Caenorhabditis elegans: one gene and its partners. Changing the gene in region 3 together with the main gene of any one other region gives a genetic interaction. Each region holds a gene or a part of one and is shown on either strand. Other genes may lie near its edges. The genes, in order: let-23, sos-1 and let-60.

Region 1 (10,297 bases), on a different chromosome or scaffold from region 3:
ACCTTTAGAAAAAGAGAATAATCTTTCTTTGTGATGAGGATGGAATGGTGTTGCCATAAACACTCTAGACCTGGTTCCACGCTGAAAAACCATTATTTTCTGAAATTTCAAAAGTTCATTCATTTACCATAGTAGGCTAGCAGCTCTAAAAGCTTTTAAATCTCCAACAGGAAATCAAGAAAAAATGAAAGTAATGGGAAACAATAGAAACAGAACAATATTTGGATATATATTGGAACAAATAGGTATTTGTGTGGTAAAGCATGTGAGAAACAACACAAACAACAATAAACAAACCTTGTTTGGGAGCGTCTTCGTCGCCACTGTTGTTTTCAAGAATCATGGCGTTACGGCGTCGCGCCGATGCCGTTCCAAAATGGATCTGCAAGGGATGAAAGCAATCAGACTAAGAGCAACAATTTTTGGTGGGAAGAAGAATGAAGGGACTCGGAAGGATCTTTCGAAATGGGAAATGGGTGGTCGCGTTGAATATTAGTTACCTAATCTAGTTTATGCTTGTTTTAAATTTCATTTGCAATTATGATAATGCTAGTCGTTTTCTGGGAATCGCTATGATTAATAACAATTTCCATAAGATGCCTTGCTACGTTAAAATTTGATCTAGTTGTTCAAATTTGGATCACAAGTGTTATGGGGTACCCTAAATTCATACAATTATAAAAATTTTCTGTAATTTTTTCTACATTCAAGCTTAGGATTACTGGATTTTTGTCAACTGATTTTTCAAACAGAAAGATCACAATGAAAAATCTGAATATCTTGGCAATATTTATTAAATTGAATGAATTGTCTTGAACTTTGAAATTAAAAATAGAAGCATTTGCGAACATTTTTAACCTTTATTGTCGAAAAGAAAAACATTCGGGTACTTCAAAGGACCTGAAGTTTAGAGTTCATAGAATTTTGCGGACCAGCGGCACCCGAAATTCCATCGCGTCAATTTGGTGACGAAAAATAGAAAAGAGGGTTAGTAAAAGTTGGAGGAGGCAACGAAATCTTCTTTAATCGTCGGCACCGGAAAACGTGTGAAAAGAAGTTTTAGGTAGAGACGTTGGAAAATGAAAATCTTTTGAAAATCCCCATTCATAATTGCAAAAAGGCTTGTTTGGTTTGCAAAAATAGACTCTGCCTTGCTCCATTGTTTGAGAAAATCGTTGGAACAATGTATTAAAGGTAATTACTGAGACTAGTGGAAATATAAATATTCCAATTTTGATAATTTACAGTAAAAATGAAAGCTGAAATGAGAAAAAATGTTCATCAAAAATTGAAAAGTTATATTCGTCTTTTGTCAATCTATTACTAATTTTTTTTCAGTTTGCTATAAGTCTGGGTTCGAAATTGCCGGATCATATTTGGACAAAAATAGGGCGATAGCTTTTTATTTTGATAGAACAGGTTTTATCAGTAAAGTTAAGTCCTTACCAACTTCTCCATAAAAAAATTTTTTGAGCAAAATTCGGACATGATGCAACGCTATTTAAAAAAAAGTACAAGACCTCAAACTTTGAATGTTTTTCGAACTTTTTCGGCAAATAATAGGAGAGTTTTAATGTTTTTTTTTTCAAATTTCTAGTACAATTTAAGAAGAAAAAAAATATTCACCTGATTCATGTTCCCAGCATCTGAACTTGGTGTCCTTCGGAGCAATTGCAAATGAGCCCAATCGCTATGGTTTCTAGAAATCAGTGCGGTTGTCGTCGGAGTGATACAGAAAGCGGACAAATGTCCGGCTAGAAATTTTCCCCGGGGATGCATAGTTGGTGAGAGTGACAAAAACTAGAGAATATAGAGATTGCTGGTGTGACAAAGTGACACTCTCAATTTGTTTTTCTATTTTAAAAAAGAATGGCTTCTGCTGAGGAGATGAAGAATTGGTAGAAATGTGTCAAATTCCGAGGAAATTCGATGAAATCTTGAGAAACTGCTTCCGAGTTTCAATACATTTTAACGCGTCGATGAACTCGTGGGATTGCCGGAAATTAGGTTCCTTTTCGGTTATTTGTAGAAATGGTTGCACTTTTGTGGCAAGAGTAAGGGAAAAATAAACAATTTCGGTGCATTTTTTTCATCTTTTCCTTTGACCAGAAATCTTGTAATAATGGGTAGCAGTAGAATGGGGGAATTCAAGAAATGTAAACATTTAAATGAAACATCAAATGTATGGATGAAATTTTAATTGTGACCACAGAATATACAAATTATAAAGTTGAATAGATCAAAAAAGTTGTTATTAAATTTTATGCATCTGCACTTGGGATTCACAAAACTTACATAGAAGTATCTGCTAACCTAACTCGGAAAAAGGATTTTTTTCAGAAAATTTTGGAACCATGGATTTTGGCAATTTGGAAAGATTGAACCCTTTCTCTTCGGGTTACCTCTGAAACTTTGAAAAATTTAATAACTTGTTCACACATCTTAAATATGTACGAATCCACATAACTCTGAAATTTCAGACTCCAATTTCCTTTCCTGCCGTGCCATTTGCCAACAAGTTCATATTGTACACGAGAGTTCACACTGAGTAATGATGCCAAGAAGAAAAGTCTCAATGAAAAAATCTATTAGTTGTGCCAATATTTGCGTAACTCATTCCCTTGTATTGCGCATAAATCAATGCTCCTACAACAGTCTCCCCTTTTTTGTATGAGGGGTTGTCTCTAACAAGTGAATTGACTTGACGCCCACCGACTTTTCTTAGTCAGGTACTTTACACCTTTTTTCATGAAGTTCGCGAAAGTGATTTCAATCGTTTTTGGTTTTTCTTGTGCACTTTGAACATTTCAACTAGATTTCATTTTGGGTCTCAAGCTAGTCTTTGTTTTACCAGATTACTATAAATATGTAACTATAAGGAGTCTTTTGAAAAGTTTCAAATTCTATCCGAAATTGTTACATAATGTACCTAAATTCACATTTTACGGTCCCCGAAGTAGTGAAACTGCACTGAAATATTTTCAGGTCGAAGTATTTTACAGGCTTCAAAATGGTCCACTGGTCCAGTCATCAATACCTTTTCCGGTCAGGTTACTGTAATCCAAAAATGCAACCTCGAACAAATGATATATGTTTATAGTCTCTAATACTTCCTTGACCTCTAAATACCTTTTCTTCTCCTCCTTGCCCTCAGTTTTTTCTCATAAATCTTCATAAACCCACTTGACACCTGGAATCTCTTCCCCTCCCTCATCATTTTCCAATCCTCCCTCACCTATACTTTCAATAACAAATTTTCTGCTCTTTTCTTTACGAAGAAATAGACAAAGTGACTCTGAGCCAAGCCACACAATCAAAATCCAATCATTTTCCACATGTTGATCTCCTCTTCGTTCATATTTCTTAGGCGCATCTAGGTGTTCAACCATATGGTAATTAGGACCGCCCGTGTTCTTCCCCACTAGCTGCCAACCGATGGCGGTATGACTTCAAAGGGAATGAAAATGAATCAAGAACCCTCATTCTTCAGTGTTGTTGCAAGATTGATTTATTAGTTTTGAGAGGTTTTTTTTGTTTCAATTAATAGATCTCCGAATTTTGCCTAAAATTTGAATGTATCCACTTTTTACTTTAAGATATTTATGTTAAAGTTTTCAATGAACATTTTTAATGCAAAAATTGTGGAGACATTATCTATTGTTTTTAAAAACATCAATGAAGATCCCGATGTAATTTTTTAGATTTAAAACGGTTTTCTAAAAGCAAAACGCCAAGCAAGCATTTGATAACCATTTGCACATAGAAATACGCCGCCCAGCCTTTTCCCATCAACCTATTCATATTCAAGTTCTATTTGTCGGGAGGTCCATTGAGTATTGTCCACGTTTATAAATCTATTATGATTCACAATCTAAAAGAGCTCAGAAATAAGAAAGAATGAGAATTAGAGAAGCAGAGAAGATGCTCAACAACCATCGTCTTCTTCTCTTCCTTATCAACCACCCACACAGTCCTGCTCACTTGCTCCTATCACTTTTTTCCTTGTACCGAAAGAAAAATATGAACAATTTGAAATACTGCTGACAAATTTTTGTGTACGACGTCAAATGCGTTTTGGCATGTGATTGAGGTTTTGATTTTTTTTGGTGTAAAATTCATTTGAAAAATAAATTCTTCGGACGAACCGGAAATTTTAAGCTTTTAGTTTCATATATCTTACTTACTTTTCAGCATATAAACTACAAAAACCTACAATAATTTTTCAACTGAAAATCGATCTGAACTCTTCTAAATTCTAAATTAAAAAATTTCCCGGATTTCCGCCATTTTCTTTTCGATATTTCTTAAAAGCATCTCCTCAAGTTTCCCATGCCGATCGTATGTTGTTCTTTCCTCTGATTCATAGATTTCAATTATAAAAGTGAGAGAACTTGAGAGCTCGAGACGTCACGCACAAAAGAAACCATTTTTCTAACTTCTCGGAGCAAGAGGTACACTATTTTTTAACGGCTCTTTTTTTTACAATAAAATTAGGACTGCGCAATCAATAAAAATTATTGAGTTCGTTCAGCGTTAAAAAAAATCAAAAAATTTTTGCAGAAATTTTGGCTTCAAATTTCAATTTCCACTTAAAATCCTTGTTAAGCCAGTAAGATGCTATACATTCAAACTAGGATATTAAACGCATACTACCCCAAACACACGAACTGTCGGAAGCTGTACCCGAAATTGTGTCCTCCAATTTATCTTCACACAATTTGACAGCAACTCGTCCATATTGAGAACTCGTCTCTGGGCCCCCCGATGGGGAATAGGTCGTAGACCACAAAAAGAACGTGGCGCCACAACACCAATAAAACATTTTTGTACGTTATTCTATGTATGGTTGAACTGTGTCGTTGTTGAAGAGTTTTAATCCCATCTCGCTCGCATCACCTTTTTTTGTTTCAAAAATCGCCTCCTTTACTGCCTATACCTCTCCCAATTCTCTTGACAATATCGACCAAAAACTGCATTACTGATGTCCAATTTTCATTTCAGATGAAGTTCCCTTTTTTATTCTTATTTTTAATAATCTTAATTGATACAACAATTGATGCGGCATCACCAACGTCAACACAAGGTTCAGTAACTGTACGGAGGAGGCAACGGAAGATTGTGGTGAGAGAATGTGAGTTGGCTTTTGGAATTATTACGTTTTCCATTATTTTGTTCAATTTGATCAAAATTTGAAAATCGTGAAAAATTGGATCTGAAACCGATTAGAGCGAGGTTATGAATCCTATTTTATTGGCTTGTCATTTTTTTGATAGATAAATGACTCCGCCTATATCTTGGTTTTTCTCAAAAAGATTTCTGTGAATACGAAAATTATTCCACATGAAATTGACCACCATAGTAAAAAACAAGCTTTTGGATTTTTATTAAAAGTTAAAATAATATAATGTTTAAAAATGCATTCCGAACAGGAAAGTATGTCTCAGAATTTGCAAACATTTTTTTAAAGGGAACCTAACAGATCCTAGTGGTGAGTAACCCCGTTATATCCAAATATAATTTCCTTTTCCCATTGTTTTTGTGGTATTTGTGATGTCCTCGTGATTTATCCAAAAACCCAATTAATTACTCTTTCCCCCACACATTCATACATAGAAATTTGCAACTCATTCCATTTCGAAGCACTTGAGAAGATGAAAAATGCTAGAATTGAGGCAAAAATGAAATGAAAATGAGCACACATTCAGTCTACTACTCTCTGTCCCGTTTTTGGGTATCACATGTATAAGAGGTAGAAAAGTGGTCATAGAAGAGTGAAAAAAAGGAAGAATTTGTCCAAGTTTTCTCACTATCTACAATTTTCTGGGAGGCATGCGATACCCTCCCTCTATCGGTTCAATTTTATTGATTATTCCTATTTTTCTAACATTTTTTGGAAATTCTAATGCACAGTTGTGGAAAAGATGTGTTTCACCTCAAGACTGCCGTAAGTGGATAAAATGGGAAATTGTCAACAATGGCAACTGATTTTTTTTAAATCATAGAATATACATATGCGATTTGATGTGTTCTTTCTAAAAAGTTTCAAGACATATACTTTAAAAAAATGTTCATTAAAGTAATACAATACTTTTTGTAGAAATTTAAATTTTTATTAATTTTGACATGAATCATGATATTTCGATTACAGAAAGTTATCAAAAGTTCATTACAAGTACAGTAACCGGTAGACACGTGAGAACTTTATCATTTAAAATGTCATTCAGAGGACAAGTAATCGGATCATCAAGAAAATTGAAAGGCTCCATTTTTTTCTTTTTTTTTGAGATAAGAAAAATTTTTAAAATAATTCTAGTTAATTTTTAGAGAAACTAGATTTTTTGAAACCAAAATATGCATCCCCTCTGTGAATTTTTCCTCTTTGAATCAAACAAAAACTTACACGAATTTCATTCTTGATTTTCAGTTTGTTCTGGCACAACCAATGGAATATCGAGATATGGAACCGGAAATATTTTGGAAGATCTGGAAACTGTAAGTTGTTGAATAGGGATTTATCTTTGATTTCTGCTGTTAAACCATACGATTAGAATTTTATTTTAAAAAAATTTAAAAAGTTCCGGATCGACGAAGTAACCATCCAAAACAAATAGTCAAATAGCCCCAGGCAAAACTAAATTTTTTGCCAAAACAAGGAAAAATGTCTTGATTTAGATGTACCGAGGGTGTCGTCGTGTTTATGGAAATCTTGAAATAACATGGATAGAAGCAAATGAAATAAAGAAATGGAGAGAATCGACGAATAGCACTGTGGACCCAAAAAATGAAGATTCACCATTGAAATCAATTAACTTTTTTGATAATTTAGAGGAGGTGAGTATGAAAACATCTACAACAATAGATGTATTTTCTACCAAAAACGTTTTTGCTTAAATCTTCCTTTACCTTTATTTTTCAGATTCGAGGAAGCTTAATAATTTATCGTGCGAATATTCAAAAAATATCATTTCCAAGACTACGAGTAATCTACGGAGACGAGGTTTTTCACGATAATGCATTGTACATTCATAAAAATGATAAAGTTCACGAAGTTGTGATGAGAGAGTTGAGAGGTTTGTTTGCTCAGCTTTTAGAGACATAGTATTTTATTTTTATTTTTCAGTGATTAGGAATGGAAGTGTCACAATTCAAGACAATCCAAAAATGTGTTACATTGGGGATAAAATCGATTGGAAGGAGTTACTGTACGACCCAGATGTACAGAAAGTTGAAACTACAAACTCACATCAACATTGCTATCAAAATGGAAAATCAATGGCAAAATGCCATGAAAGTTGTAATGATAAATGTTGGGGATCCGGAGACAATGATTGTCAACGAGGTTAGCAAAAAAATTAGACTAGACATAAGTTTTTGTTCATTGTGGCTGAATTTTTCAAACTTCTGAAAAAATTTAATTTTTGACACAGAACGATCAAAAGTTTCAAAATTATTTTAAAGAAATTATGTAAATAAAATTCACCAATATGCAGTATATTTTCAGTCTACCGTTCCGTATGTCCAAAATCTTGTTCTCAGTGTTTCTACTCGAACTCTACAAGTTCATACGAATGTTGTGACTCGGCTTGTCTTGGAGGATGTACAGGTCACGGACCAAAAAATTGCATTGCCTGCAGTAAATATGAATTGGATGGAATCTGTATCGAAACGTGCCCATCGCGAAAAATTTTCAATCACAAAACAGGACGATTAGTTTTTAACCCAGACGGAAGATACCAAAATGGAAATCATTGTGTGAAAGAATGCCCTCGTAAGTTATTTGGATAGAGATAAATGATGAATAAGCAGAATCCACAACTCACGAAATACTTTTTCAGCTGAACTTCTAATCGAAAACGATGTATGTGTTCGTCACTGCTCAGATGGTCACCATTATGATGCTACAAAAGATGTTAGAGAGTGTGAAAAATGCAGAAGTTCCAGCTGTCCAAAAAGTACGTTTTCTTTTTGAAATAAATCAATTTCAAGCTGCACTAATTCCTACAAAATCCCTAAAAGCTCAATAAATACAAAATTTTTAGTTTGCACGGTCGATGGACATCTGACAAACGAGACACTTAAAAACTTGGAAGGCTGCGAACAAATTGATGGTCATTTGATAATAGAGCATGCGTAAGTATTTCTTTCTTGGTTTTTGAGATCATCGTATAATCTTTGAGAATTTCGTTATTCAAAAACCAAAAAAAAACTGAAAAAATGAGATGATGAAGTGTGTGTCTAGAAGTACTTCAAAGCTTTATAGAATGGGCACTCACTTTTTCATCCAAAATGGCAGAGAAATGGGACACATTTTGGAATGAGGGGAAGGATTAGAACTGAAAGCAATTGCAACAACTCAACCGTATATAAATATTATTGTTTTATGATTCTCGCCGGTGACCCAACTCTTTTTGTTGTTGTTGCATTTCCGGTGCTATTCGGCAAGACTTAAAAGTGCATCTTTAGAGAGCTTCACTTCATTATGTTTATATTCAAAATTGAAAGATCGCTAATGATAACCTAACTTTTCAATTTTTCAGATTCACATACGAACAACTAAAAGTCTTGGAGACAGTGAAAATTGTTAGCGAGTACATCACGATTGTTCAGCAAAACTTCTATGACTTAAAGTTTCTCAAAAATCTACAAATCATTGAAGGCCGAAAACTTCACAATGTAAGATGGGCTCTCGCAATTTATCAATGCGATGACTTGGAAGAACTGAGCTTAAACTCATTGAAACTTATAAAAACTGGAGCTGTATTAATAATGAAAAATCATCGATTGTGTTATGTGTCGAAAATTGATTGGTCATCAATTATCACTTCAAAGGGAAAAGATAACAAACCCTCATTGGCAATTGCTGAAAATAGGGATAGCAAACTGTGTGGTAGGTTCATTTTTGAATGTTATCAAATAAAAAATATGTCATTTTCCTCAATTTTTAGAAACTGAACAGAGAGTTTGTGATAAAAACTGCAATAAACGTGGTTGTTGGGGCAAGGAACCAGAGGACTGTCTCGAGTGTAAGACCTGGAAAAGTGTTGGGACGTGTGTTGAGAAATGTGACACGAAAGGGTGAGCAAAATGTGTAGTCTGAAAAAGTAAATACCGCTTTGATTTAGATTTCTGCGCAACCAGACATCAATGAAATGCGAAAGATGTTCTCCGGAATGTGAAACCTGCAACGGTCTAGGTGAACTGGATTGTCTCACTTGCAGACATAAAACTCTCTACAATTCGGATTTCGGTAATCGTATGGAATGTGTCCACGATTGTCCAGTTTCACACTTTCCGACGCAGAAAAATGTATGCGAAAAGTGTCATCCGACGTGTTATGATAATGGGTAAGCTTCGGGTTTTTTTTCGATTTTTTAAATGCGTCTTTTCGAAAATATATACGCAAAGTAGCTATTTACGAATGATTTTAGCTACCGTCTAAGGTTAAACATTAATATATAAACATCATTACTTATATTTTATATAAAAAAATACAGTTCGTCTGTCCATAGTTTGTAGTCTATGTAGTCTTTGTAGTCTGTGACGTCACGCCCAAATTTCAGTGAGAATAGTGGGCGTGGCACCCTTCGTGGTGAGACCCATCGTGGTGAGACCCTTCGTGGTGAGACCCTTCGTGGTGAGACCCATCGTGGTGAGACCCTTCGTGGTGAGACCCTTCGTGGTGAGACCAATCGTGGTGAGACCTTTCGTGGTGAGACCCTTCGTGGTGAGACCAATCGTGGTGAGACCCTTCGTGGTGAGACCCATCGTGGTGATACCCTTCGTGGTGAGACCCTTCGTGGTGAGACCCATCGTGGTGAGACCCTTCGTGGTGAGACCCTTCGTGGTGAGACCAATCGTGGTGAGACCTTTCGTGGTGAGACCCGTCGTGGTGAGACCAATCGTGGTGAGACCCTTCGTGGTGAGACCCTTCGTGGTGAGACCCATCGTGGTGAGACCCTTCTTGGTGAGACCCATCGCGGTGAGACCCTTCGTGGTGAGACCCAAAATTTTGGCGGGAAATTCAAATTTTTAGTGAAAAAAATTTTGGAGGGAAATTCAAATTTTCAGTGAAAAAAATTTTGGCGGGAAATTCAAATTTTCTGTGAAAAAAATTTTGGCGGGAAATTCAAATTTTCAGTGAAAAAATTTGGGCGGGAGATTCAAATTTTCAGTGAAAAAAATTTAGCGGGAAATTCAAATTTTCAGTGAAAAAATTTTTAGCGGGAAATTCAAATTTTCAGTAAAAAAAATTTTGGAGGGAAATTCAAATTTTCAGTGAAAAAAAATTTTGGCGGGA
Region 2 (10,081 bases), on a different chromosome or scaffold from region 3:
CTGCCATTCGTAATTCATCATTTTTTCCTAAAAGTTGCCGATCTAATCCACTTTTTGCAGTTTCCAAACGACGGTTTTCAGTTTCCAAAACTCCTTTCTCCCGTTTCAACTGCGTCCAACTCTGTTTCATCGTTTTCAGTTCTTCTTGTACAGCCTAAAATATTATCTATTCCAGCAATTTCTTATCTCAATTATATACCTTGTACTTATCATTCAACTTTCCCAATTTTTCAGAGTGCTCTCCATTAAGCTTATTCCTAATTTTTTTCAGTTTTATTTCAGCATCTTCTTTCAAAAGTTTTGCATCGCTCACGTCCCTTGTCAGCTTTTCATTGTCTTGCAAGGCACGTTTCAGGTCGGATGATAAGGATACACCCAGCGGCGTCGTCATCCTAAGCGGCGTAGACATGGCTTCCTGTTAAAAATGTCACTGCCCAGAAAATTTTTGAATCTCACCAGCTTGTTCGATACATCCTTCCGATTCCTCCTGGAAGCGATCCCAACAAACCGAGCAATTGCAAGTTAAGAATCATGATCGACAACGCTTCCTCGTCCGCTGCGAATTCGTCATCTGTCTGAAAATAACAAATTTACACTTGAGAAAAACTTTTCTAATATCAATCGCATTAAAAAATTTATTTCATTGTTTATTCAAAATAAAAGCGAGCGCAGTTTCGCTCGCTATACTGGACTGCACTCTTTGAATTTAAATTAGACTTTTTTTTCAACTTTACCCTTTTTTCAGAGATCTCATCAGCAGTAAACTTCCTTTCCTTCTCCAAAATTTACGATCCATTTTTCGTGATTTCTCGAAACTTTCATCAGCGACCACGACTTTTCAGTTTATTTCACTCCAATCCATTTCATCGATCCGGCAAGACCCTTTTCGTTGCACCTCCACCCGATTTTTTAAAAATATTTTTCTGAAAATTAAGTTGACGGCGAGATAAAAAAAATTATTATTTATTTTTCAACAAAAAATTAACTTTAAAAATGGCAAAAAGCTATATTTTAAATGAATGGAAGAAAATAAAAGAGGCCCCACGAAAAGGGGGGCAGAACGAAAAGGGGATCTGCAAAAAGGGGATCTGCGAAAAGGGGAGATACGAAAAGGGGAGCAACGAAAAGGGGAGCTGGCACTGTGCCAAACGCACAAAACGCTTTTTTATTCTCATTCAACGCACGACTTTGTTATAACCACACTCCGTTATTACGCATCGCGCGTTGTTTAGCGTAAAATACAAAAATAATGCGTGCGTTGAATGAGAATAAAAAAGCGTTTTGTGCGTTTGGCACAGTGCCAGCTCCCCTTTACGTATCTCCCCTTTTCGCAAATCCCCTTTTTGCAGATCCCTTTTTCGTTCTGCTCCCCTTTTCGTGGGGCCTCAATAAAATCACAATCTCTCGTAAATCCTGCCCGCTTGTCTGCATTTGCGCGTCAATTTGTGCGCCGCGTGTTTGCGGCCAATACACCGAAAAACACCGATGAGACAGCTTGACTACACGTGTAGTATTAGTAAACGAGCGAAAGTGAAAGCATTAGTGAATGAGCGTCAAAGAGATTGAGCCATCGTTAGGAATTGAGCGTTCAAATAAATGAGCATGCTAGTAAATGAGGGTTTGCCCTATTATTTGCGCCATGAAACTTGAAAAATGAATTTTCCAACTTACCGTAACCATTTAACAAAGGCGCTTACTTGTTTAACATCGTTGGGTCTCGAAACGATTGAGTGGGTATACGGTATTTATTTTTAATTAATTAAAATTTTAGATTTATTTTTACTTTTTTAAAGGATTTTTTATGGAATTTTTTTGTTCCAAACGTTTTTTTTTCAAATTTTATTTTTTCCAATATTTATTTCCATTATTTTTTAATAGAAAAAACCGATAAATTCCATAATATTTTTAAATATCAGGTTTTTTAAAAACATTTTTGTGGCAAATAGGCCAAATTCCTGTACGAAGGTCAAGCATAAAATTTGAATAATCCACACTTACCGCGCCGAAATCCATCTATCAATAGGGCGTGCTTGCAACAACAGTGTTTTCCTCAAATTTTACATTTTTATTTTTCAAACTTTTTCAAAAAACCAACAACAAATAACTTTTCTTGACAGATGGCTGCTCCCACTCACCGCATTATGTCACCCTCCTGACCCTCCCCTGCCACTCCTTTTTCGGCATATTTGCTCGTACAGTTCTTTGTCATAATTGAACACATTTGTTTGTTTGTGCCGACCAGGTTGTGTGTGTGTGTGTGTGTGTGTGTGTGTGTGTGTGTGTGTGTGTGAATTTTACCGCTTTTCCCACGAGAAATCATGATTTTTAAATTAAAATTCCGAAAAAAGAGCAAAATTTTGTTATAGTATGAAATTCGCCAAATTTTTTTCTCTCTGGAGTTCACTTTTCATTAAATTATGACTCTTTATTGCATATTTAAGCCAAAAATAAACGAATTTCGAAATGAAACTTCTCATAAAATTGTCATAAATTTTTTATGGCGGTTCGAAATTAAAAAAAAAGGTAAATTTTAGCTAAAATCTCCAATTTTGGTCACTTTACCATGTTGCAGCGGTCCGAAGTTGACTTTTTTTCCGAATTTTCAATTTTTTGAGATGTTTTTTTTCTGGATAAATCGCATTATGAAATTTGGACGTTTTCAGTCTGATTCAGCAAAAAAACCCCCCCCCCCCCATAACGGTGCTGTCGAATTTTTTTTATTGATTTATAGACTCGGACTTGTCTGAAAACACCGAATTTCATACTGAAACTTCTTGAAAATTCTCAAAAAAAAAGTTATGGCGGCTCAAAAAATGACCTAAAAATTGTTAAAATTTGAAATTTGACCGACTTGGCAATGTCACAGCGGCTGGAAACAATTTTTTTTTGAAATTTTCGTCTAATTTTGGTTACAGATGTGAATTATCTTGCGTTTTCAGCTTTAAAGTACCTAAATCGAGTTGAAAACACGCAAGATAATTAACTATTCTATAGATATAGTGATTTCAACAAAAAGTTGTTTCCAGCTGCTGCGACATTGAGAAGTCGGTCAAATTTCAAATTTTAACTAAACCTAGGCCATTTTTTGAGCCACCATAACTTTTTTAAAACAAGTTTTCAAGATGTTTCATTATAAAATTCGGTGTTTTCAGACTATTTTGAGTTTAGTCAAGAAATAATAATCGAAATAAAAAATCGACTACACCACTTTTAGCATGAGATAAACGATAAAAGTATGCAATAAAGGGTGATAATTTAATAAAAACTGTAAGTAAAATTCCAGAGGCTGCCATAAGCAAGAGTTGCCGAAATTTCGGCTTTTTTTTCGATTTTTTTTTAAGAAAAAAGTCTCATTATGATATCCAGTCAGTTTTGGTCTATTCAAGCAAAATAACCAAAATCTCTACTACTTTTCAAATTTCTTCAATTCGATCGAATTTGACCTCAAAAAAATCGAAACGAGAATCAAAAAAGAGTCGACCTTGAAGTAGTGTATTTGTGTTGATTAGGTGGGGCTACTGATTGCACTGCAAATCAATAAATATATAAAGTCTTCTCAACAGATCAAACTGGTTCGAATAGAACAAGGCCGTGGTGAGAGATGGTGGCCGGCCGTTGTCGGGTGTCCATTTCTCTAGAATCTCTCACAGATTCCTGCAGTATTTCGTCAGCAGCCGCCGGCGGGTAACCCCCCGCTTCCCGTTCTCATCCCGTATCATTCTGTCCGCTTGTCTGTCACCTCTACGCTTCCATCACACTCCATCTTTTCTTCTATTTCTTCTTTTCAGTGTGTGTGTTGTTCCATGCATTATTTTTGCGGGTTGTAATCATCATCATCATCGCCATCATACACTTTTCTCCTTCTTCTCCATCTTGCTTTTCTCGCTCTCGTCAATATAGTTTTTGTCTTAAATAAACTTTGCAAAAGTGAAAATTTAAAAAAATATATAAATTCGTTCCTTGCATGCAGATTTTTTTTTCTGAAATTGCCGGAATTTATGTTACCAGCCAGGGATGTCCGGCAATTGTGGTTTGGCAAATTTTCTTGTCCACAAATTCGGCAAATTGCCGATTTGCCAATTTGCCGGAAATTTCGATTTTCGGCAATTTGCCGATTTGCCGTTCGCCGGATATCAATTTGCCAGAAAAATGAGGGTTTTTTATATATTTTTTTATATTTTTCATAACACTTAAAACTGTGCCTTTTTGAAATTTTTTTCCGGTTTTCTTTAGATATTTTCATAGAATTTGCTAACTTTTCAAAATAGATGTAGGAACATTCATAGGATGCGTACAATTTTGCTGATTGAAATTGAACTTCTGGAATTCCCAAAAAAAAAGTGCAAGGCCACAATTTGCCGGTTTGCCGATTTGCCGGAAATTGTCAATTCCGGCAATGTTGATTTGCCGGAAAGTTAGCAAAAATCGTTTGCCGATTTTTTCCAGCAAAGCGGCAAATGGCCGGAATTGAAATTTCCGGCAAATTGGCAATAAACCGGAAAAGTGGCAATTGTCGAAAATTTTCGGCGAAACGTGGTTTTGCACTTCTTTTTTTGTTGGAAATTTCAGAATTTCAATCTAAATCGGCGAAATTGTACGCATCCTATGAATTTTCCTACGTCTGTTTTGAACTGTAAGAAAAAATTTAAAAAAGGGGCAGTTTTAAATGTTCCCATCTTATAAAAATCCCTCTAAACATTTCCGGCAAATTCCAATTTTTTCGAGGAATTGGATTATGTTCCATATATCAACGAAAAAAAAAACAATTTTATTAAACAAAATAAATTGAAAAAATTCGGAAATTTTTCATTTGACGGTATATGCTAAAATATTTTTTTCTGTTCACTTTAAGGTACTTCTGGTGATTAGAAAATTTAAAAAAAAATCGATTGTCAGCGTAAGAATTTATTAATTCATGAATTTTAACTCGTAACTTATTGTTGGCCCACTAATATATTTTTTCCTAAATAATTCAAAATTTCATTGCAGATGGTCATATAAATGAGCATAATGAGCATATCACTGCACTCGGCATCATCGGATACGGTCTCGTTGACCAGCCGACGAACAATATCAACTAGTAAGCATTGGGCGGCTATTTTTGATGAAAGAATTTATCAGGTTTGTATATATTTGAATATTTCCTGAATTCAATAATATTTTTCAATTTCAGATATGCAATATCGTACATCCTGGCCTCCCGATTGACAATGCTGCAGTTGAGCACATTCGATATTTTTTGCAAAGTATCGTTTTTGAGGTATATATATATATGTATATATCGGTTTTTTTTCAAATCTAACAAATAAATTAATATTAATAAATTCCCCCTGTGCATTTCTTGACCTTGTAATCCTTTCCCCTCTTCAGCTCATCGAAGCACGTGCCACAAGTGTCGTCGAAGTGGACAAAACTGCGAAAAAGCTGTTCGCATTCGGTCTGCAGACTGTTTGTAAAGTAAGGGATTTTCAAAAAATGTTTCCAAAAAATTTGTATATTCATAAATCATCAAAAAAGATCGTGATTTGATTTTCAAAACTATTCATTTTTTGTCTTTTATCCTGAATATTCAAGTTTATGGAATTCTTTCCGCTTTAAAATATTTTATTTAAAATGTACTACGAGAACACAAAAATCTGAGAATGCGTATTGCACAACATATTTGACGCGCAAAATAACTCGTAGCGAAAAAGAAAACTACAGTAATCCTTCAAATCACTACTGTAGCGCTTGTGTCGATTTACGAGATCTCGATTTTCGTATTAAAAGCGATGGAGCTTATTTCGAAAATTGGGCCCCGTAAATCGACACAAGCGCTACAGTAATCATTTAAAGGGTTACTGTAGTTTTCGCTACGACACATTTTGCGCGTCAAATATGTGCAATACGCATTCTCAGATTTTTGTGTTCTCGTAGTACATTTTAAATAAAATATTTTAAAGCGGAAAGAATTCCATAAACTTGAATATTCAGGATAAAAGACAAAAAATGAATAGTTTTGAAAATCAAATCACGATCTTTTTTGGTGATTTATGAATATACAAATTTTTCTTTTTTTTGCCTAAAAAATCTGGGTTTGGACAAAAAAAATATTAAAAAAGTAGTGAAATTGGTGAAAAAACCAACAAAAAAAAACGTTTTCCACCTAACATAAATACAAGAAAAATGAAATATACTCTTTGGGAAAAAAATATTTTTAAAAATTCTAAAATTCTGAAAAACCACAAATTAAAATGAACAAACCACGAAATATTGAAAAATTCAACTTTCGAAAATTTTCGTGATTTTAAAATTTGGATTTTTCAGAATTTGAGACTATTTTTGAATTTTTCGGAGCAATATTCCCCCTAAAATGTGTATTTTTTCTGATTTCTCGAATTTTCTTAAATATTATTTCAAAATTTGCAGGAAGCCTGGGACAACATGCACCAACAACTCCAAAAGCACAAATATCAAAAAGCCCTGAAAACAGTTCTAGAAAGCCAACATCGCCTGGCAGCAGTCATCAAAGAAACACTTGGACCACGAGAAAAAGAGAAAAAAGATCGAGAAAAGAAGGAAATCGAACGTATCGCATGCTATATTTATTATGCATGTGAAAGTGTTACTGAAGATGTGCTCAGGCTGACTGGAAATTATGTGAAAAATATTCGAAATAGTGAGCAAAAGATTACGATGGCTAATCTTGATGTGGCGATGAACGGGGATAAGGTACTGCTTTTTTTTGGAGAAAAATATAAAAAAAACCTATTCAGCAGAAAATTTGCTTCGAAAAAATAAAAATAAAAATAGTCTTGAATTCAGAAAAAACCAAAAAAATCGCAATTTTAGCTAAACACAATTTTGTTTTCGAAATCGAAAAACGAGAAAAAAATTTTTTTTTTGAAAACAAAACATTTTTCGCCGAAAAATACGAAGAAATAATAAATTTTTCGCCAAAAAACACAAAAAAGCGAAAAGAATAAACATTTTTCAGTTTATAACGTTATTTTAAAAAAAAACTTGCTTATTTTGACCAAAATTGCATTAAAAAAAATTCGAGTGTGATTTTTTGGAATTTATGTAAAATTTAATATTTTTCTATATTTTTCAATTTATCAGAATTTTCCGCTTTTTATCAATCTTTTTTTCGAAAAAAAAGCAACAAAAAAAAACACATTTTTCGCCAAAAACACGGCAAAATCTACAACCCTGACTGCTGCGACCAATCAGCGATTCGCTCCGCCCATTCTTCAACCAATCAGATGGAGTGGGCGGAGTTTGGTGGCGCTGATTGGTTGTGCAGTTTTCGTTGCGGTGGGAATTCAAAGTTAGCCAAAATTTTCACGATTTTCTTGTGTATTTTTTTCCGAATTTGAGACTATTTTGGTTATTTTGAAGCGAAAATTCAAAAAAAAAAAATCCCAGAAATTTCTGAAATTGACCTAAATTGACCTGAAAATCGATAATTAGACTTGTTTGCAAAGAAAAAAAAAAGGAAAATCTAATTAATATAGCCGTCGGCAATATTATTGCCGAAAAACGATATATTAATTGGGTTTTCTTTGTTTTTTTTCTGTTTTATAATTGGAAATATTATTTTTTCAGACTTTTTTCTGGAAAAAGGGTATAATTTTAAGATTAAATTATCGGTTTTTGGCCAATTTTGGCTAAATTTGTTTCAAATTCTCTTTTTTCATAAATTTCATCTCAAAATTATATTGCATATGTCCACTTCGTGCCAGGCTGTCCCATTACGGTTTGATCTACGAAAAATGCGGGAATTTTTTCCCAGAAAAAATGTGACGTTAGCACGCTCTTAACCATGCGAAATCAGTTGAGAACTCTGCGTCTCTTCTCCCGCATTTTTCGTAGATCAAACCGTAATGGGACAGCCTGACTCCACGTGTATCTGCACGTGGTCTCAAAGTGTCCCATTTTGGTTTGATCTCCGAAAAAGGCGGGACGTCACATTATTCCGAGGAAAAAATTCCCGCATTTTTTGTAGATCAAACCGTAATGGGACAGCCTGACTTGACTACGTGTATGTTACGGTGAAATATGAAATTTTTTTTTCAACTTATTTCAACTTTTGCCGAAAAATTTCCGTTATTCAATGTTTGCCAAACTGGAAATTAGAAAGCTCTCAAAAAATTTATTGAAAAAATTAAAAAAAAAAATTCAGGCCCTAATGGAGCTCCGAACAAAACTTCGAAACGAGGAGGAAGCCGAATCTCCCGGCGGTTTTGGTTTTCTATCGGAATTTGAGGAATTTGTTGCCGAAGAGACTGAAGAAAAGACCCTATCGAATAGTCAGACATATGAATCAGTAGCTGTTGATTTTTTGAGAGATGAGAGACGATTTATTCGTGAATTGAATAGGATTAATGTATTTCGACGGAGAATCGAATCGGTTGCGGCGACGGATGTTGATAAGGTTTTTAATGATTTTTCGAAAACAAAAAAAAACGAATTTTGGTCTTAAATCAGCCTGAATTTAACGAATATTGCTTTAAAAAATGTTTTTTTTTTATTTTTGCAACAAAAAAAATGGCGAAAAGTTAAAAACTTTGGCAAAATTTTGAAAAAAACTTGAAAAATTTTTTCTTCCAATTTTGCGAAAAAAAATGGCTGATCACAAAGCGAATACTAAAAAAAAAACGAAAAATTCTCCCAAAAACGGAAAAAAAGTCACGAAATTTTGTGATTTTTCCAATTTTGCAATAAAAAATGCTGATTTTTTTTTCTGAAAATTAAAAAAAATATGTCGATGAATTTAACAAAATTTCAGTTAATATAGCTGGAAAATTCAAAAATGTATTGAAAAGATAATTTATTTGCGCGGGAATTCAAAAATAATATGGTCGTTTTTCTGAAATTGAAAAAAATCGCAAAAAATTAAAAAAAAACATTTTCCGAAAATGGAAACGGAAAAAATTTGCCAAAAGGCCAAAAAAAGCGAAAAACGAAAAAAATTGAAACATTTTTTTGTAAATTTGAATTTTAAATATTTTGAACACGAAAATGTATATATTTAAAGTTTTTTCGAAAACAAGTGTAAAATTTCAAAATTCGAGTTTTTAGTCAGTTTCCAAGCGAAAAATATATTTTCCGAAAAACATTACATAAAAAAATAATCCCCACAAAAAATGTTGGTTTTTCGATTTTTTCTGAAAAATAGCTCAAAATTTCGGCTATTTTTCGTTTTTTTTTCAAATAAAATTATATATTTTCTTATTTTCTCGTAGTGAAAAAGAAAACTACAGTAATCCTGACTAAATGACTACTGTAGCTCTTGTGTCGATTTAAGGGCTCCATTTTTGAAATTAATTAAAATATAATATTTTTAAAAACCCCCTATCCGAAAATAAATGAATTTTAAAAAATCGAGCTCCATAAATCGACACAAGAGCTACAGTAGTCATTCAAAGGATTACTGTAGTTTTCTTTTTCGCTACGAGATATTTTGCGCGTCAAATATGTTGTGCAAGACGCATTCTCAGAATTTTGTGTTTCCGAAGTATCACTGCAACTTTTTCCTCACGAGGGACGAGGAAAAGTGGTTTCTAGGCCATGGCCGAGGGGCCGACAAGTTTCAGCGGCCATTTATCTTGCTTTGTTTTCCGCCTGTTTTCTTTCGTTTTTCACAGCTTTTTCCCGTTTTTTCTTAATAAAACTAATAAATAAATATTTTTTGCAGATGCTAAAACAATTTCCAAGTAAAAAAATCATGTATTCAGTGGGCAAGCAGCGGTGAAAGTGGGCAATGCAATATGATGGATTACGGGAATACAAAACCTAAACTTTTTCTGAAACATGATACATATGCTGCTTAAATGCTGAGACTACCTGATTTTCATAACGAGACCGCTGAAAAAGTTTTGAGATTTTCAAAATTCAACATTTTGTGCCAAAATCTCGACTTTTTCACCAAAAAAGTTGAATTTTGAAAATCTCAAAACTTTTTCAGCGGTCTCGTTATGAAAATCAGGTAGTTTCAGCATTTTTAAGCATATATACCATGTTTCAGAAAAAGTTTAGTTTTGGTATTCCCGTAATCCATCATATAACATAAACCACTTTCACCGCTACTTGCCGGCTG
Region 3 (10,640 bases):
TTTCCAAATTAAATGTGACTTTTTGTGAAAATTCAAGACGTTATCGAAGCCATGTTTGAAAAAAGTTTGCATATCTAATATTATTTTTGAGAAAACTTGAAGTTTATAAAACTGTTAGATTAGTTGAAAACTAACCGTTTCGAAAATTCAATAATGAAATATCTGTTTTCAGGTTTTCATTTCCTCTAGTTGCTCATTTCAATATATTTTAATATCAAATTCTACTGGAAAGTATGTGTCATTTCTTGTTGACACCACTATTTTCAAACTAAATAAATACCACGATAATTATATATTTTGCAAAAATTGTTCAAAAAGTATCAAGTTTTCTCGTTCTTGGCATATTTCATGCAATTTGTAATTCTTTTTGTCTCAGTTATGTCATAACTTTTTCTAAAAATCCTAAGTTATTCTAGATTATTTGGGAGCAAACATTTTTAGAAATTCCCAAAGTAGATTAACAAAGAAAATTCAAATATAAATCTACTGGACATTCAAAGAAAAGCACTTAGACAATTTGAATCGAATTCCTCAAATTCTTGAACTATTTTTTAGAGGATTTCAATTGGACAGAAAGAATCTCAAGCACTTAACGTCGGCGGAAATAGTTTTTTTTTTTCAAAAAGAGACCACCGCCTTTGCTAGAAACGAAAATTGCATGCGTTCCATTAAATAATTCAATTCATCGTTATCACCATCCTTCGTCGTCGTCGTTATCGTCAGAAACAGATAGGGATGGGTCGATACAAAAAGAAAGTGGACAGTTCTTTTCTCTCACTCTTTTTCTCTTTTACAAATCACACTTGTTTCGTCTCACACACGCTCACTTCTTGTCTCTTCTCCCAACAGTCGTCGCAAAACCGTCAAAAGCGTAGCGGCTGTCGCGTCGCGGTCGTTCGTGTCTATGCATCACCGTTTCTAGTGCTCTCTAATTGTCCCGCCGTAGCAGTAGCAGCAGTAGCAGCGGCATGGTGGGGACCGCACTCCTTTATCTTTTACTCTTACTTTGTGTGTGTGTATGGGGGGTGCGAGAGAAAGAGATAAAAAAGAAAGAAAGAGAGAGTGTGTGGTTTCTGTGCTTCTGTGCACTCCAGAGCCTCGGATTTCTTTTCCTATGAACTTCATTTCTCGTCTCCATCATCAGAAGGAAGAAGAATTCTTCAGAATCTTGCACTTGAAGCGTTTTCTGCCTATTTATTTTCTCCTCCCGAGTTCATCTCTCTATTCGTCTTTAGCTTAATCCATTTTATTAGGCACGCACCCGCTCCTTGGTTCAACCAAATGAGAAGATAGAAAAGATGGAGCAACGCATCCCAAATTGTGTGATAGGATTAAAGTAGTGTGGAAGAAAAAAAAATGCAGAGTGAGAGAAGGGGCAGTCTTCTTTTCCGGTCTTACTAATCCTAACGTCTTCTTTTTCCTTCCTATCTCTCATCTCTCAACTTCTGAAATAGTTGAGATGAGTGATTTCGTAAGTTCATTATTCTTTTTTGTCAGTTTTTGCTTATAGTTCCTACGGGAATCATTGTTTCTTAAACATGCTACTTCTTTAAACAATTTATATTTAACAAAGTAAAATTGAACGTTTTTTTAAAAACTTTCTAACTGAATTTCGTAAATTTATTTGTTTCCTTGTGAAAAATGCTTGTCAGGAAAACTTTACTTCTCTACGTCTCAATCTCTGCAATCTTTTAACGAGAGATCGGAGAATTTTGTATTGGAAAAGTGAAAAAGAAAAATGAAAGAGACCCACTCGACACTGAGGGCGACCGAAAAGAAACCGACGAAAAAAAACGACGATTCGAGCCATTTGTCAGCGACAATAAGTGGTCGGGTCGCACCACTGTCCGCCGTCTCACCGATTTTAACATTATATTGTCCCCCTTTTTCTTCATCGCTTTGAAATCAATTTTTGATGAAGTGAAGACCTTTTTTCTCCTGGTTTTTTTTTTAATAATTGCATTACCCCATTTTTTAAAGTTCAAAATTACTCAAACTATTTGAATTCTTCTTTTTTTCAAATTGTAATGACTCATTCTCCGTCGTCTTCAAATAGTTACTCATTCCGACTCACCACCTAGTTTATTAACAGGAAAGTTCATTCTTTTTCTATCTTCTCAATTATTCTCAAGTAGTCATCATCGGTTTTTTATTTCTTTCCTGGTAGTTACTCTCCTTTATCGAAACTTTTTTTTGAAAAAAAAAAGAAACGGAATTCTGAGTATGCCGATAGGCAGAGCTGCTCTTTGGCAGTGCTCCCACAGAAATCCTTCTCCACTTCGTTTTCTCATTTCCATCTCTATTTTACATTTTTCCATATTCAACTATGCGTCTTTTTTCAGAAAAGGGTAATGACGGAGTACAAGCTTGTGGTAGTTGGAGATGGAGGAGTTGGTAAATCAGCACTCACCATTCAACTCATCCAGAATCACTTTGTCGAAGAATACGACCCGACCATAGAGGACAGCTACAGAAAGCAGGTGAGAAATCATTGGGAACATCCGCTACACACATGTGGTGGGAGCAAATTGAACGAAAATGATGGCATTTGAAATTGAACAAAAAAACGATGAGTCAGAAGTTTGGAAGTTTTTTGAAACACATCGAGCTGTTTAATTGATTCCAAAGACGAATAAATCGTGCTGAAACACGAAAAATTCCGAAATTTTCGAAAAAAAACCAATTTTTCGTGTTTTGGACACGACATTATAAAATGGCTGGAACTGAAAAAAATGGCTCGAATCATGATTTTTCATTGTCCCCCGAAAATTCTCACAAAAAAAAATTGGAAAACCGAAAATTTTAGTTTTTGCAAAAACCGGAAAAATTCTGAAAACACTCCAAAATCGATATTTCTCAGACGAATTTCAATAATTACATTCCGTTTTACGTTTTATACAAAAAACAGAAATTTCACTTTTTTTTTGAGAAAGGGCCCAAAACTTTTTTTTAGATTTTTTGTTTTTTTAAAGCAAATCGATAAACCAGCATGCCTGCTCGTGTCGTGTGAGGAGTATAAATTTTTTTAAACGTATATTCATCTTTAAACTCTGAAATTCAGAATATTATTGAGCCCTAATTTTCAGTGTTTTCATTTGAGTTTTTAACCAGTAAAAATAGTTTTTCAGTTTTAAAAATTGCTCCGAGAGCTAGTTTTTAAATATTCTAATTTCAGGTTGTGATAGACGGTGAGACATGCCTCCTCGACATATTGGATACCGCCGGACAAGAAGAATATTCGGCGATGCGTGATCAGTACATGAGGACAGGCGAAGGATTTCTGTTGGTTTTCGCCGTCAACGAGGCTAAATCTTTCGAGAATGTCGCTAACTACCGCGAGCAGATTCGGAGGGTAAAGGATTCAGATGATGTGAGTTTTTTTTGTTGAAATTATCAGTCAATGGTTGAATATTTGTATTTCTTCTAGGTTCCTATGGTCTTGGTAGGGAATAAATGTGATTTGTCATCTCGATCAGTCGACTTCCGAACAGTCAGTGAGACAGCAAAGGGTTACGGTATTCCGAATGTCGACACATCTGCCAAAACGCGTATGGGAGTTGATGAAGCATTTTACACACTTGTTAGAGAAATTCGCAAGGTAATTTTTTAGTTAAAAATTTAAATTAAAAATAATGTTTTTAATGTACAATTAAGGTACAAATTCAGTCATTATTATATGAAAATTGAAAGACGCGAGATTTTGATATTTTCGCGCCAAAAATACGACACCCGGTCTGTTCGATTTGCTCCTTCAAATATTATGGTAACTTTATACTGTCGTTACAGCGGAATTTTCATCAATTTTTTTAAGTTTTCGATATTATAAAAATATTTAAAAACACAGCAGTTTTAATAAATCGGTGAAAATTACCCCAGAAACGAAATATTAAAGTTACTGTATTCTTTAAAGGCGCACATACGTTTGCATTTAACACAAATTCATCGTGTCGAGACCGGGCACCGCATCTTTAATTTGAAAATCGCCAAATGTTGCATTTGAGTAATACAAAAACGTTGTTTTTAAAAATTTTCTGTTTTGTAAAGCTCTAAAATGTTATTATTGTTATCAACAGTTTCAAGTTTCCATTTTTCACTAAAAACGAAAAATGTAAGTTTTTCCGATATTTCGAAACAAAAGCTCAAAGTTTTGGTCATTTTCTTAATTTTTAAAGAAAATTATATGTTTTCTTTTGTTTTTTTTCTCACCAGCATGCACAAAATCTGATAAAAAATTGAGTTTTATTGTTAATTTTCTAAAAAAAATTTTGATGACACCCTAGATTGATATCCGAAAGATTTAATAATGTTTTCTTTTTATTTCAGCATCGTGAGCGTCACGACAATAATAAGCCACAAAAGAAGAAGAAGTGTCAAATAATGTGATTCAGCGTCGGGAATTGCCCAATTTCGCCAACTCATTTTCAGTCGTGTCAACTCCCACCCAATTATCCTTTCTCGTACTTTTTTGGTACATTTTCATTATTCATTTATCTGTTTTATCTGAAACTTGTGATCGATCCTCTTCCGCCTCTACATACTCTTCGAATTTCCACCTTTTTTTCTCTATGCATCGATTGAACTTGTTCTCTCGTCTGCTCGTCATTATTTTTTCTCCTTTTTTTTCTTCATCCTTCATTCTAATTCCTCATCTTTCGCTTAGCCCAAATCTCCATTCATTCATAGGTGTCAAAACTAGCTGTAGTGTGTGATCCATATCTAAAACATGCATCCGAACCCCCTCCTCGTTCCAAAATTGGCCAACTCTACCAAAAAAAACATCGCACCATTTTTTTTTCACTTTCTCTGCATATTTTCAGAATGTTTGTATTGCTTTTTTGATGCTTTATTCCCCTTCCTCGTTTTCATACAAATTATTGGCCTCATCTATTTTCAGAAGTTCTCTGAAAATTAAATTCTTTTGCATCTGCCGGTCGTTCCGTTTATTTTTTCTCTGTTTCCTCTCATTTTTGTCAAGTAATTATTTCTCTTTCATTAACTATAATATAGATACAATTAGACCCCATTTCTCATACATTTTCTGAACATCTGAAAGTTTTTGCTCCCTCGTATTGCATTCATTTTTCTCTATTCCTCTACATTTTATAGTCCTATCTGAATATAATATTCCTATTCTTTTGATCAAGTTTTTATTATTATTTTATTTTCAAGGAAGTATTGCAATGATATAAATTTTAAAAAGCTAATATTATTTTTTTAAATCTATTCAACTATATTTTGTTAATTTCAGTGTTATATTTTGACCTCGCCATCGGAGCATGATTTTAAAAAAAACTAAATTTAATTTATTAGAATGACGAGAAAAAGGAAAAATGTAGAGTCTGATGAGAATCCTCCAGCGAAAAACTCATTTGAAGGATACGGATATGCTGCTGCTGATGCTGAGAAGAAGCCACAGGAGGAGAGAAACAATTTCAGAACTTTTCTAGCCAAAAATGAACGATTTGGAAGTGGAAATCGAGGTGGAGGAGGTCGTGGAAGAGGAGGAGATGGTGGATTTAGAAGAAATGATAGAGGTGGACGTGGTGGTGGTGGAAGAGGATTCGGTGGTAACAGAGAATTCAGTGCCGGAGATTTTGAGAAGGTTTGTGTCAGATGGTGTCGTGAGTGATGTAGCGTCTCTGGCTTTTTAAACTCAAAATTACAGAAAAAGTTTCGATATGTCGAGTTAAAAACATTTCTAAAATTTGTATTATTTTGCAAAAAATAAAAAAAAGCCGAATTATTTTTGAATTTTTTAGTCATTTTCCTGGACAAAAATTGTTCAAAATGTGGAATTATAGGTTTTAGACCAATTTCATTTTATCGAATTTCGTTCGGATTTTCGAGGTTTCTTTCCGAAAAACTGTCTGAAAAAATGAGCGCGGGAATTCACAAATATTTCAGTATTTTTTTGAAATTGAATTTTAAAAAATTTATATTCGATATATTGAGACTTTTTTCTGTGAAGAATCGATAAAATGAACTCCAAAGCGCTCCCTAGGCAATTACCACAAAAACGTATATATTTATTTAATTTACAGCAATACGGTCGAGTTGGCGGCGGTGATGACACGAATTCAGGACAACCGGATAGCTACGGACAAGCTGATTCGGCTTCATTCAACGACTCTCGACCAGATGGAGATGGTCGTGAATTTCCGAAAGAAATTGTTGGTTATCTGAGAAGTATTGAACAAATCAAGAAGAAAGAGGGAAAAATTGAAGATTTTATTCTGGAAAAGTGTGCTGAAGAAGTTGTTGGCCAGGAGAAAACTCTTCTCTCGTGGACAGAAGCAGCCGTTGTTGTTGAATCTGTATTTGGAAGTTGTCCTAAAGGAGCAGCTCTCTTCCTTTCATCGATTTCTCGTCTCAAGCATAAAACATTAGCTGAGCTGATTTTCGGAGGAGCTAGTGCTAGGACAATTGAAAATTTGATATTCTCGATGTGCCCAATCGCCGAATCAGAACATGTGGAGATTCTTCAAAAACTAGCAGGAATTCTTATGGATAACTGGGCGGATGCTGTTACAACACAACCTTCGAGTTTTCTGATTCGAGCTATTGTCTGGGTGTGTTGTGGATTGTCAGCAAGGCCAAAGGTTGGAGAGGAAAAGAAAAGAAATTACAAAGGACAAGAAATGAAGGCTAGCTTGAAGAATGTTTATGAAAAACTTGCAATCTTGGCATTCGATGAGAATCTTAATAAAACCTTTATGGATTCTCCGATTTTTGTGACACTATTTCAAGATTTTATTGAAGCCGATGGGCTTTGGGGAGACAAAAGAGGTGATGAATATGTGAAGAAGAAGCTCGAAAAGGAAGATATTGAAGGAATCTCGAAGGCATGGTATTCATCAAATGGATCTCGTGTTTGGGATAAGCTGATGGAAACTTGCTCAGAAGATGCTCGAAGTCTTTTATGGATTGAATTTTGCAGTAAAAATGTTGACGAATTGACAGATAATCGATTCTCAAACTTTCCTCTTCAAAAAATGATCAATAGCTCAACATCGTTGGAAATGGTCACTGAAATAATTGAAACAATGGCTCCAAAGTGTTCTTCTCTGCTTGAACATCAGAATTCTGGTGTGTTCCTTTCGGTTATCCGATGTGCTGCACGATATCCATCATCCGAGAAAACCATGCTTCAACAACTGAGAAAATATTTCCGCGCAGCTTCAGAGGCAAAGAAAGGACAATTTTTACTCAACGTGCTTACTTTGAATGGATGTGATGGAAGCATTTTCGATACTCAGAAGTTCACACAAAAGGTTAGCTATAGCGTATACGACTTCTACATAATCATTTGAAAAATAGATTTGGAAGTGGACTATTTCTATAAATAACAAAAAAAAGTGTTGATATAACGAGAATAACTGTAAAAAATGTTTGGAATTTTACTTAATTTTTAACTTTTCTTAATTAAAAAACGTTCATGTGGTTGATTTTTTTTTTGAATTCCTTAGATTTGGCATTTTCCGTTTTCAGTCGGTAATAGTTTCAACTATGATAAAACCTCAGCTAGTTGGGGTTTATTCTTTTTTTTTTCTTCGATTATTTATGTGAAACAGATTTTTTCAATTTTCAGAAATTTTTCCGCAAAAAAAGCTGGCTTGAAGTGTTTTTTCTTCTTCTATGTTTCACAACAATAATCAAAGAAAATACTAAAAAAAAATACTAAAAAATATCAAAAATAATTCAGCCATTTAAATTGTTTTCACAAATTAGAAAAAAATTTTAATTCAGAATTTTTTTTTAGTTTACAGTTTTATTCAAAATTTCCCCCAATATTCAATCAAAATTTTCTATATTATAAAATTTAAATAAATAAATTCCAGGGTACAATGCTCGTCTCAGAACTTGTCAACTTCTCAAAAACGAAAACATTGGCAACTGGCTTTGAGCAACTCAGTGAGCAACAAATTCAAGAAATGTCATGTAACAAGTACACTTCTCGTTTGATTCAAGCTGTTTTGGCTAGTAAGACTATGCCAGAAGAGATCAAAGAGAAGATTATTGGTGCTTTTGATGTAATTTGACAATGTTTATTTAAATTTTCAATTGTAAAATTTTCAGAAAAATTCTTGGGAGACGCTTATCACTGATACTTTCGGAAGTCGAGTTTTCGAGAAAATTTGGGAATTTGTAGACGTAAAGCGCAAGCAGGAAATCATGAAAGTTCTTGTTGGAATTCATGTGAGCATTTTTCTGTAACAAAAATATATAATTCACTTTCTTCGTTTTCAGAATTCATCCAAGTTCTGGAAATTTGCAATGCTTCGCTGCGATCTTTACCTGTTCAGAAAAAGCCGGAAAGATTGGGTTGAAAAGATGAAAAAGTCTAAGAATTAATTATTTTTGTTGTTGTTACTGTTGATGTTGTTTGTTCTGTTTTGAATTTTTGGTCTTAATGTTTGATACGATTTTATTGAATTGAGTAAAAAATTGGAATTTATGTGGCTTATAACTCAAGGAAACAAATTTGTTTTGTTGGTTTACCGGATCATCTGATAATCTTGGCAAACAAAAAGGGAATTCCAAAGCCATTTCGCCGTTAAAAACTTGTAAGAACTCTAAGTTTGAGAACAAACTGGTAAAGGGAGTTGAATTCTTACTATTCGGAATTTTCATAATGATCAGAAATTCTGTAGCTGAAATTTGTCGCCGGATAATTAATTCTACAAAATGATTTTATGCACCATGTTGTTCCATGTATTAAAAATTAGTCTAAAAATATAGAAACGCATTCGAAAATAACATTTATTTGAAGTGAAACATTTGAAAATGTGTTTAAAAATTACCCGATAGCAAGTGGTCTCAGACTGTCCCATAACCGCATGATCTACGAAAAATGCGGAAATTTCTCGCCCAGAAAAGTGTGAAGTCAGCACGCTCTTAACCGTTCGACACTAGTTGAAAACTCTGCGTTTCAATTCCCGCATTTATTGTAGATCATAGCGTTATGGAACAGTCTGACACCACGTGCGATAGCTACAAATTGCCGATTACACGTGGTGTCAGGTTGTCCCATCACGGGTTGACCTACAAAAAAAACGGGGTTTTTTCCCTTAAAAATGTGACGTCAGCACGATCTTAACCATGCAAAATTGGCTAAAATTAATGTTATTTTCTATATTTTTACACTAATTTTTAGCTTAAAATTTTTGGAACAACATGGTAGGATATTTTGTAGAATTGTAGAAATCCCACTCCTGTGTCAGATGGGATTTTTTTTGCCTGAGAAAAAGGAACAGATTTGACAATATGGCACAAAGCTTCTCTAGAATCTTTAGTAGCGAGGGTTGAGATTCCACAAGATCCCAGAAGCTTTTCATTTTTCAGAAATGCATTGGAGCCATTTGTATAGAAATCCCGAACTCCTAAAAAGTTAGCACATGATCCATATCACATCAAGTGGCATCAGTAGCAGCTGGGTGATCATTTGCATGTGAAATCTCGAAAGGTGTTGCGCAATGCTTCAACTCTTTTTCTGTGCCGAGTGATATGTGTGTGCGGACGGTAATATTTGTCAACGGCGCGAAGAAGAACGGGGGAAGGTGAAATACCGGTCGGATCACGGAAGGAGAGAGAAATGAAGTAAGGGAGAGAATAGCATACACATCCACCCTCTTAACTTTGACTTTTGCCGCACTCTTACCTCTCGGTGAAGGTGCATGCTTCTTCTACACTTCATTACTTACAGTTTCTACGGAAACCTGAATAGAGATATTTTAACTGATTGCTCGAAAATTTATATTTTTCCATAGACCATTATGTGTGAAACTCTTCAATTCGAGTCTGAAATATAGTTAAAGTTTAGCTTGATCTTTTTCACCCTTGGTCACAGTTCCTCGGCTCGGACGTAGCTTAAGTTAAAGGCCAGTAGGAGCACCACCCTTACTTCCAGTTCTGGAGTGCATATGGCTTGAGGAACGCATTATTATCCTTATTTTTAGATTTTAGATTTATTTGAAGGTGTTAAAAGGTGTGTTTTCAACTGAAAAATATTTATTATTTCTTTTTTCTACAGTTTGGTTGTGAAATACTTTTTGCTCATTTCTAAATAAAATGTGCTATTAATGTAAGGTAAATTTTCAATACATGGTGCATCGTTAACTACCACTTCTAAGGTTTGAACGCTGATATCTCGAGTTTCTTTTGTTGTATGAAAAAATATGTCGACTGAAAAGTTTATATATATATATATTCTTAGAGTACATTCCAGATAGAATACACTTGGAAAAAATTCAGAACTGTGCAAACAATATTCAAAGAAATTTTTTTCTGACAAGTCTTTTAGATAGATATTTCACATCAATGTTCAATTTTTAAAGTCAAGTATATTTCAAATTTACCATAAATAAGTTCTTGATTTTCCTCAAAAAAATATATTTTCGTCTGATTTGTGCTCAAAACTGTGTTTATTTGAAGTTGCTCAATATTTGTAAGTCTTTTCTTGTGTCGCGCATGTCAACAGAGACACATTCCCTCTCAAACAGTAATTCGGTTTAGTACTCTTCTATTCCACTTTTTCATTTTTTTGTCTGTGCACGTTCCAATTCGTTCACTTTTTGTGCTCGTTTGTGCACATTCAAGAGTGAGTCCTTGATACAAAACTTTTGTCGAAAGTAGTACTTTTA

Evidence for each region.
Region 1: of let-60 (region 3) and let-23, changing one enhances a phenotype caused by changing the other (phenotypic enhancement), as found in Caenorhabditis elegans (2 studies listed by BioGRID, with this or other methods).
Region 2: of let-60 (region 3) and sos-1, changing one enhances a phenotype caused by changing the other (phenotypic enhancement), as found in Caenorhabditis elegans (2 studies listed by BioGRID, with this or other methods).

The regions. Positions count from the first base shown.
Region 1 is NC_003280.10:9,192,517-9,202,813, forward strand, and holds the start of let-23 (receptor protein-tyrosine kinase), read left to right. Parts: upstream 1-4,995; 5' UTR 4,996-5,001; coding exon 5,002-5,131; intron 5,132-5,467; coding exon 5,468-5,488; intron 5,489-5,740; exon of another isoform or gene 5,741-5,829; coding exon of another isoform or gene 5,830-5,944; intron 5,945-6,424; coding exon 6,425-6,492; intron 6,493-6,672; coding exon 6,673-6,831; intron 6,832-6,916; coding exon 6,917-7,070; intron 7,071-7,120; coding exon 7,121-7,339; intron 7,340-7,501; coding exon 7,502-7,768; intron 7,769-7,835; coding exon 7,836-7,952; intron 7,953-8,039; coding exon 8,040-8,130; intron 8,131-8,537; coding exon 8,538-8,887; intron 8,888-8,945; coding exon 8,946-9,075; intron 9,076-9,122; coding exon 9,123-9,344; intron 9,345-10,297. Other genes in the region: twk-4 (Potassium channel domain-containing protein), read right to left, coding at 298-382, 1,627-1,779. UniProt on the Caenorhabditis elegans protein: Tyrosine-protein kinase receptor which, upon binding ligand lin-3, activates 2 signaling cascades: the let-60/Ras and MAP kinase signaling pathway and the let-60-independent phospholipase C-mediated Ca(2+) signaling pathway.
Region 2 is NC_003283.11:4,544,200-4,554,280, reverse strand, and holds the start of sos-1 (Son of sevenless homolog), read left to right. Parts: upstream 1-4,989; 5' UTR 4,990-5,001; coding exon 5,002-5,121; intron 5,122-5,173; coding exon 5,174-5,260; intron 5,261-5,370; coding exon 5,371-5,457; intron 5,458-6,408; coding exon 6,409-6,711; intron 6,712-8,164; coding exon 8,165-8,416; intron 8,417-10,081. Other genes in the region: Y61A9LA.12 (uncharacterized protein), read right to left, coding at 1-154, 200-409. UniProt on the Caenorhabditis elegans protein: Promotes the exchange of Ras-bound GDP by GTP. May regulate signaling pathways downstream of receptor tyrosine kinase, egl-15 and let-23.
Region 3 is NC_003282.8:11,682,789-11,693,428, reverse strand, and holds let-60 (Ras protein let-60), read left to right. Parts: upstream 1-2,340; 5' UTR 2,341-2,351; coding exon 2,352-2,480; intron 2,481-3,175; coding exon 3,176-3,370; intron 3,371-3,427; coding exon 3,428-3,598; intron 3,599-4,323; coding exon 4,324-4,383; 3' UTR 4,384-5,202; downstream 5,203-10,640. Other genes in the region: ZK792.5 (Nucleolar protein 9), read left to right, coding at 5,312-5,602, 6,042-7,271, 7,839-8,030, 8,077-8,196, 8,248-8,352. UniProt on the Caenorhabditis elegans protein: GTP-binding protein with GTPase activity. The level of let-60 controls the switch between vulval and hypodermal cell fates during C.elegans vulval induction. May stimulate the guanine nucleotide exchange factor (GEF) activity of rap-1.